Bombyx mori: one gene and its partner. The protein of the gene in region 1 interacts with the protein of each later gene in a pairwise test. Links are inferred from orthologs where the notes say so. Each region holds a gene or a part of one and is shown on either strand. Other genes may lie near its edges.

What was found. The genes of interacting proteins can lie anywhere in the genome.
Region 2: the proteins of protein patched (region 1) and E3 ubiquitin-protein ligase Nedd-4 interact in a two-hybrid assay, tested with the Drosophila melanogaster proteins (2 studies listed by BioGRID). The link is inferred for Bombyx mori from reciprocal best matches to the Drosophila melanogaster genes ptc and Nedd4.

Annotation. Positions count from the first base shown.
Region 1 is NC_085111.1:13,390,099-13,393,598, forward strand, and holds part of protein patched, read right to left. Parts: coding exon 3,489-3,500; intron 2,874-3,488; coding exon 1,992-2,873; intron 1,329-1,991; coding exon 1,146-1,328; intron 528-1,145; coding exon 285-527; intron 1-284. UniProt on the Drosophila melanogaster protein: Segmentation polarity protein. Acts as a receptor for the hedgehog protein (hh). Associates with the smoothened protein (SMO) to transduce the hedgehog signal leading to the activation of wingless, decapentaplegic and patched itself.
Region 2 is NC_085125.1:1,948,421-1,952,416, reverse strand, and holds the start of E3 ubiquitin-protein ligase Nedd-4, read right to left. Parts: upstream 2,801-3,996; 5' UTR 2,252-2,800; coding exon 2,093-2,251; intron 1,792-2,092; exon of another isoform or gene 1,245-1,791; coding exon of another isoform or gene 1,221-1,244; intron 1-1,220. UniProt on the Drosophila melanogaster protein: Essential E3 ubiquitin-protein ligase which accepts ubiquitin from an E2 ubiquitin-conjugating enzyme in the form of a thioester and then directly transfers the ubiquitin to targeted substrates.

The sequences.
Region 1 (3,500 bases):
AATGGGAAACTTATGGGAAAAATATCATATCCGTTACAATACTTGTCATTTTAAAGTAATAATTAAACGTCTTTCTCCTTCAAAATACTTATTATTTTTCCATATTTTATTGATTACTGATGATAGTCATATAGGTAAAGATGAACTTATTGAAATACAGATTTATGCATGTAAGCAGTAACGTATACGAATACCAAAATTAAGAATTCTGTATATTTAAAAAAAATATTGTTAACTTAGTAAAAAAAAAATCACACTCTGTATATGTTTTTCAAGTTACACACCTCCGCGGCCGGTCCGAGTATCGCCAGTACAACCGGGAAGAACAGTAGACCGTCGACGAATCCCAGAACGATGAGAGCCAGTAGTAATTTCAGGAACAGTCTGGCGACGAAACCGAACTCGCTGGTCGCCAGCATCGACGCGGCCAGCGCGGCCGCGACGGCGCCGTGCACCACCGGCGCCAGCACAGACTCCAGCGCGAGCGAGGCCCGACGCCGCTTGCAACCGATCGACGTTACGAAGCCCTGTCAAAGAACACGTTCAATTCATTTAACGTCGACAAAAATACAATATAATTATATTTTTTTGTAAATTTTAATAATAGCTTATTTATCATCGGTCAATTTTCTCGGAACTCTAATATTAATTACTAACTATCACTAAATAATAGTTTGAAAAAAACTAACAAAATACGCTTTTATAGAAAATTCAACTAAAAGATAGAAAATAAATTTTATTAAATTTAAATTAAAAATAGTGTATGAAAAAAAGATTTTATTGTAAAAAAGCGTGGGGTGCATTATACAAGTAGTTATAAATAATTTATGAACAAATATGAGTAGAAGGGTTATTTTGATAATATCCTGAAAAGTGGCCCACGCTTTTTTACAAACTTTTTACACGTTTTTTTAAACTATTATTTATTTTTCATTTTTTAAGTGAATATCAATTTTTCACTCTTTTTCAGTTTTTTTAAAATATGGAATTTAAGTATACCAAATTTCGAGTTAATCCGACGTTTTGAAGAGGGTCAAAATCATGTTCAAAGATTCCGTTACAAACATACATACATACGTCTGAAGCTAATAAAATTAAAAATAACATAAATGGTCATACGCAAATATAAAGGTCAATGAACTCACCAAGCACAAATGGACGGTGAAATGCACTCCTCGACCGATGGCCAGTACAAGTAGGACTGCCGGTATGGCGGACAGCTTAATGCCAAGTAGCGCCATCGTGCCGAGCAACTGGAGCACCAGCACAGCCAGCGCGAGCGTCACGAGCACCGCCGCCCACACGTTCAGCAGCAATACCATTACAGCCTGAAAATAATCGTAGGCTTTTAATTTAGATCATTATGATAATTTCGACAAAGTAATTATTTAAGCCCAAATGGGGTAAAATGAAATTTTGGGGGGTAAAAATAAAACTTTTGTGATTAAAAAGTATATATTGAAGTGAAACTTCTTTAGAATCTTTAAATTTTTAGTTATTGTTTTCTTTTCGAAATAAATATTTTGGGGTAATAATTTAAAAAGTTCCCGGACCGCTGATTTAACACATCACTAACTGACTCGGTGGTGCAGAAGTTTGCGGCTCTGACTATTTGCGCTGAGGGCCTTAGGTTCGATTCCCACATCGGGCAAACAGTTTTGTTTACCCATTGTTTGGGTGTGTATTATCTATATATGCATATATTTAAACAACACAGGGAATCCTAATTTGGGGCCGGATGACCGTGTGTGATTTGTTCCCAGTTATTTATTTGTTTATTATTATTAAAAATGAAATACTTATTTTTGTTAGCTAAGCATTTGTTGTATTAACAAGTTCGTACTTCCGCCGACTGACCGCTCTCGCGTCAAATCAGAGCATTGACCCAGCGCGTACTTCATTGCGGATATAAATCGCGAATCATTTGTTTAATAATGATTTTATCAGGAGCATACGTTTTAGATAATAGCATAAAATTTTCCTGAACTTACCACAAACACAGCAGACAGGGCGCAAGCGAGGGCCAGCGATAACGACGTTCTCAGATACAGATACTGCTCCCAAAACAGGAAAGGAATACCAGACGGGAAATTGGACAATCCCTTCGCTTCGAACTTCAAGCACAGCTCCCTGACGGACGTTATCAAAGCCTTTATACTCTCCGTGTCACTTAACCCTGCCAGGTAAAAGGGCAGCTGGGTATAAATCAAGGGAGACGACTTGGGTATTTCCAGGTCCATGTCGCTAGAAGAGTGCGTCCATTTTTTCGGTTGCGGTTTCAGATTGCCTTGTGACGCTCCGTAGGCCAACGCGTCGTTTGTGGCCCAAGCCGACAAGTAGTTGTAGAACGCGTCCGTGTTGATGATGCCGTCTTTGCCCACAAGTCTATGGCCGCTCGCTCTGTCCGCGGTGATCAGTGACTTGTCGATGGGAGTGTCCACGTGACCCGTCTGCACCATGAGTTTGTATGCTAAAATGGCCTCGTCGCTTGCGTTTTTGCACCAGTACTCCTGAGTGATGCAGCCGCTTTCCACTTCTTTATCGAACACCGCTTGCAGATCTAAGAGCCAGTCGCGGAACAGAGTCAACCAGAATTTCGTGAGGCCGCCGTTGTCGTTCTTTATGATGTTAGGTATCCTGACAAACTGGTCGTGGTATTCGTACAGCAGCCTCTGATTGGTCGGGTACTCGAAGTCGCCCTTTGTGACCGCGTACATGTTGTAGAAGCCAAAGTACTTCTCTTGTCGGTACAAGAATTGGTGTTCGTCAGTATTTTCTGGCACTATGTCGGTGAGGTCTAGGCCGTCCCTGACTTTTGTCGCGCCCCAGACACTGGCCAGTATCACGGCGATCAACGCTAGCATCGATGTTACCTGTAAACGAATACGAAATTTTTTGTAAATAAAAAAAAAGTTACTTTTAATTTATATAGTTAAAAGATAAGGAATGAGTATATCAGAGGAAGTGTGAAAGTAGCCCCGGTGATTGACAAATTATAAAGCGGACGGTGAGCGTGGTATGGATATGTGATGCGTACTCGTAGAGAGGAGATGCGTGTGACTAGGAGATGTATGGAAATGGTAGTGCAAGGTAGAGGGGGAAAAGGTCGACCGAAGAAGACATGGATGGAGTGTGTGAATGACGACATGAGAGAGAGGAGTGTTGAGATGACGGTTGATAAAAGAGAATTTAAGAGAAAAAATCGCTCCTTTGGAGACGCTCGGGCAGCTGTTAGCAAATTTCACCCCTCCTGGCTGAGCCCTTGCTCACCTGCCTGCCCTGGTAAAACTGGAAAGGCCTCCGGGCCACCATTAATCTCTCAAACATATAAAAAAAAATTCGCTGTACCGACCCCACCTAGTGGGGTAAAAGAAAGAAGAAGATAACTAAAAACTACCGTTGTGTGTCGGTGTATAATGTGTATTAAATTGATCAGAAATCGTTTGACTTTCTTAATAGTATGTATGTAGATGTTGTATGAAAATTACCTTCATTGATGG
Region 2 (3,996 bases), on another chromosome or scaffold:
AATTTATTGAAGCTTCACAGAATCTACCACTGGATCGGAAATGTGACCCACTGAGAAGATCCGGTGAGAAACTTAGTGGGTTGTGCCCGAGGGTTAATTTACTCGTCGAGCCCTTCGTCGCAAGCAACGGATTCGACGTGAACGATGACTGGAGACATCAACAACGATCATATTATATTATGGTTAAGAACATATTATATACCCGTTCATGGAACCACCACATGTCTGACAATATCTTTAAAAAATATTTCCCATTTTTTTGTTTCTTGTGCAGTATAGTTAGCTAAGCAACAAATTGTATTGTTTATATTTTAAACAAATATTAATTAAACTTTGATGTGATCACTTATGGAAATTGAATTATTAATTATGCATTATTGATTGTAGTTATAATATTGTATGACCTTGTAACATCTCTGTGTATTATTTTATAACATAACAAAAGCATAACTGTTCAATGTACAGTACATACAGAAAAAAAAATGAATTTTAGTATTTTAGGTGTATCTGACCTAATATATAACAGAGTTGTGATTTTCTTCTATTTGCTTGTATGATGATTGTTAATTCTAGCACTAACATTTAGAACTAGTAGATGGATTAAAAAAAACATATTTAAATTGAATCTCAGGGTTTTATTTAAATTATTAAATAACTCTTACTGATTAACATTACAGGAGATGGGTCAACTAATATTTTGTTTCCACAAGAAATCAATTTGATAATACTATGTTGAAAAGCTGTTTGGCTTAACAACTGATGTGGAAAATATGATGTATTAACCAGCAAAATCTAGTAGTAGAGAGGACACCTGACGAAAAAATAGCACAAAACCATATTTGTTTCTAAGCATACAGAGTATACAATTTGTGTTCTCCCATTTGAGATGAAGTGATTGAATGTAATCATACATATTCATAATTACCTATCTCGTGAGGACGAATATATGAGTCTCTTTTTGAATTATTTTTTGTTAATATCGGTCGGATTTGAAGACCCAGACAACAAATCCTATTAGCGCCTAACCTCGACGCCTACACATTTTAGAGTGTACCCTGAAAATTGATAATAATCCTCGTCCGTACATTTACAAAAACTGAATAAATTAAGACCGTTCCGCAAAATAAAACGCATTTAACTTTAGACTTACAAGGACATTTTATGTTACCACGATATTTTTAATTTAAATACCGAATGTTATATTTTTTTTATAAACTTACACGCGTATCCGACTGCCAAGCCATCACCCATGTGAAGATTTAATGATTATAAAAAGGAATATGAAATACTTCACATTCCTTAAGCAACGTAAAAGTCGCAAACAACAGTTGTTGAAATGTTGACACGTTTTCTAATTACTATTCACATTTATTTCACAACTTGTCTAACACTTTGTTCACATTGGTACTGATATTGGTTATGTATTGTAAAAAAAATTTAACAACAATATAATCTAAATTGTTAAGAAATACATCCAACGCGAAACAATAAAACTAAATTGCTACGGTAATTAAATCACACCTTTTGACAGATGTGACTGTCAAACAAACATGACAACTCGTTAACAAAAAGAAACATTTTTTTAAACGAACATTTCACCTTCACATATGGAATCTTTTGTATTTCCTATCCTTTGTAATGCTTGAAATGTCTACTTTTCATGACACCAAATCATGAAACGCAAGTATTGTTGTCGCATTACACTCCGTTCCACGCAGTTTCGTATAAAACAAATTTTGGAAAAATATATTTTTTATATCAAATATTGTCTGCATAGAATCGTAATCTTAACTAATAAGGAAAATTTTAAATACTTTCCAAATATAAGCTTAATATTGTTCTGGTAGGAAATCCCCGTTAAAATTAAACATACGTGCCGCGATCATCTAATCACGTGTTTTGCTATCGGTCATGATTTTATCATTATGAAACTGGTTCATCATTTCATATTTAAAATAATGTTTTTCGGGGGTCTAATTTCGTATTGACTTCTAAATTAAATAAGCCTTCTATCCAAGATTCATTATATACATCTAAAACTCATAGAAATATTATTAGAATATAATTTAAAAAAAACCTTTTATTCCTTTACCTGACATTGCAGTGAATATCTTGGTTCCTGTCTGAAAAGACCATTTTGCCATCGCCTTGACGTCCACGATGATGACCGATTTCTGTGACGTTCACCTGTTTCAGCAACATCGAGAGGCCTAGCGTTATGCATCACTGCAACCGTACGTGAATCTAACATTTCTCAAAAAAACTGCATACAAACACCTCATCACTTTTCATTTCCACTTTTTACATCACAAAAATGTTAAAATAACGAGAAAAAACGATAACTAAAAAACGGCTCTATAGTTGCAACGAAGAGACACAAATGACATTTTTATCTTATCTTCAAGAAGTGGGCACGATAAAAGAACTCTCCGTTTACAATTAGTATGGAAATGATTAACATAATAATATACGGCCGCAAGTCGTGCGAAGTGTACTCCAATGTCCGATTATAATAGTTTAGTTCAGAAGTTTGTTCGATAACGGTATTAATTTAGTCGTGAAGTTTGTCTCCGTTCTGCGTCATAGCTGCGTCCGTGTTCGCTCTGACACATTGTTTGTTCAAATAATTCACATTGTTCCGAATACCTTGCGCTACATATTTAGGTCATTTTTTTTAAATTCATTTGAGCTAAAGTTATGTACACACAATGTGGTTAGATTAAGGTTGAAATTCGGATCATAAAGACATAAATGTTGAAATCATTAAATCTTTGACGTCTACGAATAAAAACGTTTCACAAAAAAATTTTGATAGCCTTTAATTCATTCTTAACAATGGTTGTTGTTTTTAACTGCTTTCTCATAACTGTTAAAAAACCCTTTTAAGGCACATGTAGTATAGTCGGTCATTGTATTGTCGGTGTATCTCAATAAAGCCATCAAATATTTAAGACTAGGCGTGTACCGCTGTTTTCTCAAGACAACATGCCATGAAGCTTGTTCAGATGTGCTAATGTATGGCAGTCCTTTTGAAATACACCTGGTTGTTGGCATTATTGATGCCACCATTTATTGCACTACTTACATACTTAATAATAATAATAAGGGACTTGAAGCTATCAACCTAGCTATAAGGTTTTCAGCACAATGTAGGTACTTACTAAATGCGTTTTTATTTTAATTCGTAGGAAATAGAAATGGGTGTATCGGCCCGCCCGGTAGAATGATGCTGCTATCCAGGGAAATGCAAAGCACTGCTTAGAGATTTTTCAATTAACCATCATTAACATATCAACAACAGCCCGCGTACGCCGAATAAGCGTCACTTCTTTCGTTTCTGCGTTTCTTTCTTCTTCTTTCTTTCTTTCTGACCTTGGTCTTCGGACCTCCTCGTGCCGCTTTTGTTGCATAGCGCTTTGCAAATGAGGTCGACTCGTGTGTAAAATGTGGGTGGGTGGCGGTAACCATCTAAATTTATATCTTGTTATCACCAGATGAGCTGTGACCTCGTTTGCTCACTAATAGGACAAAGACACCACAACGCAACGCCGAATGTGAACGTTCATCTCGCGATTTGAAATCGAAACAACATTTATTTTGAGCCTCTAATCTATAAAGCGCTGACCAGCCTTTTGCAATATATGATCTCGGAGGAGCTCACAAAATATCTTTTTTAGAGGTCTTTCTCAGAAGTTTCAATAAAGTTACGTTACGTAAGAGTCAATTCGTAGAGGTGACTTCGTATCCTAAACTGCTTCGATGTTAAACGGTTACCAGCTTCCCTGGTTTTTTTTTCGGGCCGGTGGGCGAACCTCCTACGAGGGCGCGCGGGGTATGTGGGACTTGCCGATCTGCTGATAGTGGGGGTTTCCGTGGATATCACAACGTAAATGCATCCTGCAGGTATCTGCCTTGAAACATTAATTTATAGTCTCAATCTTTTGCCGAAGAGTCTGCGACAGAACGACAGCTATCTCGCTCTTCCAATGAGCTCTA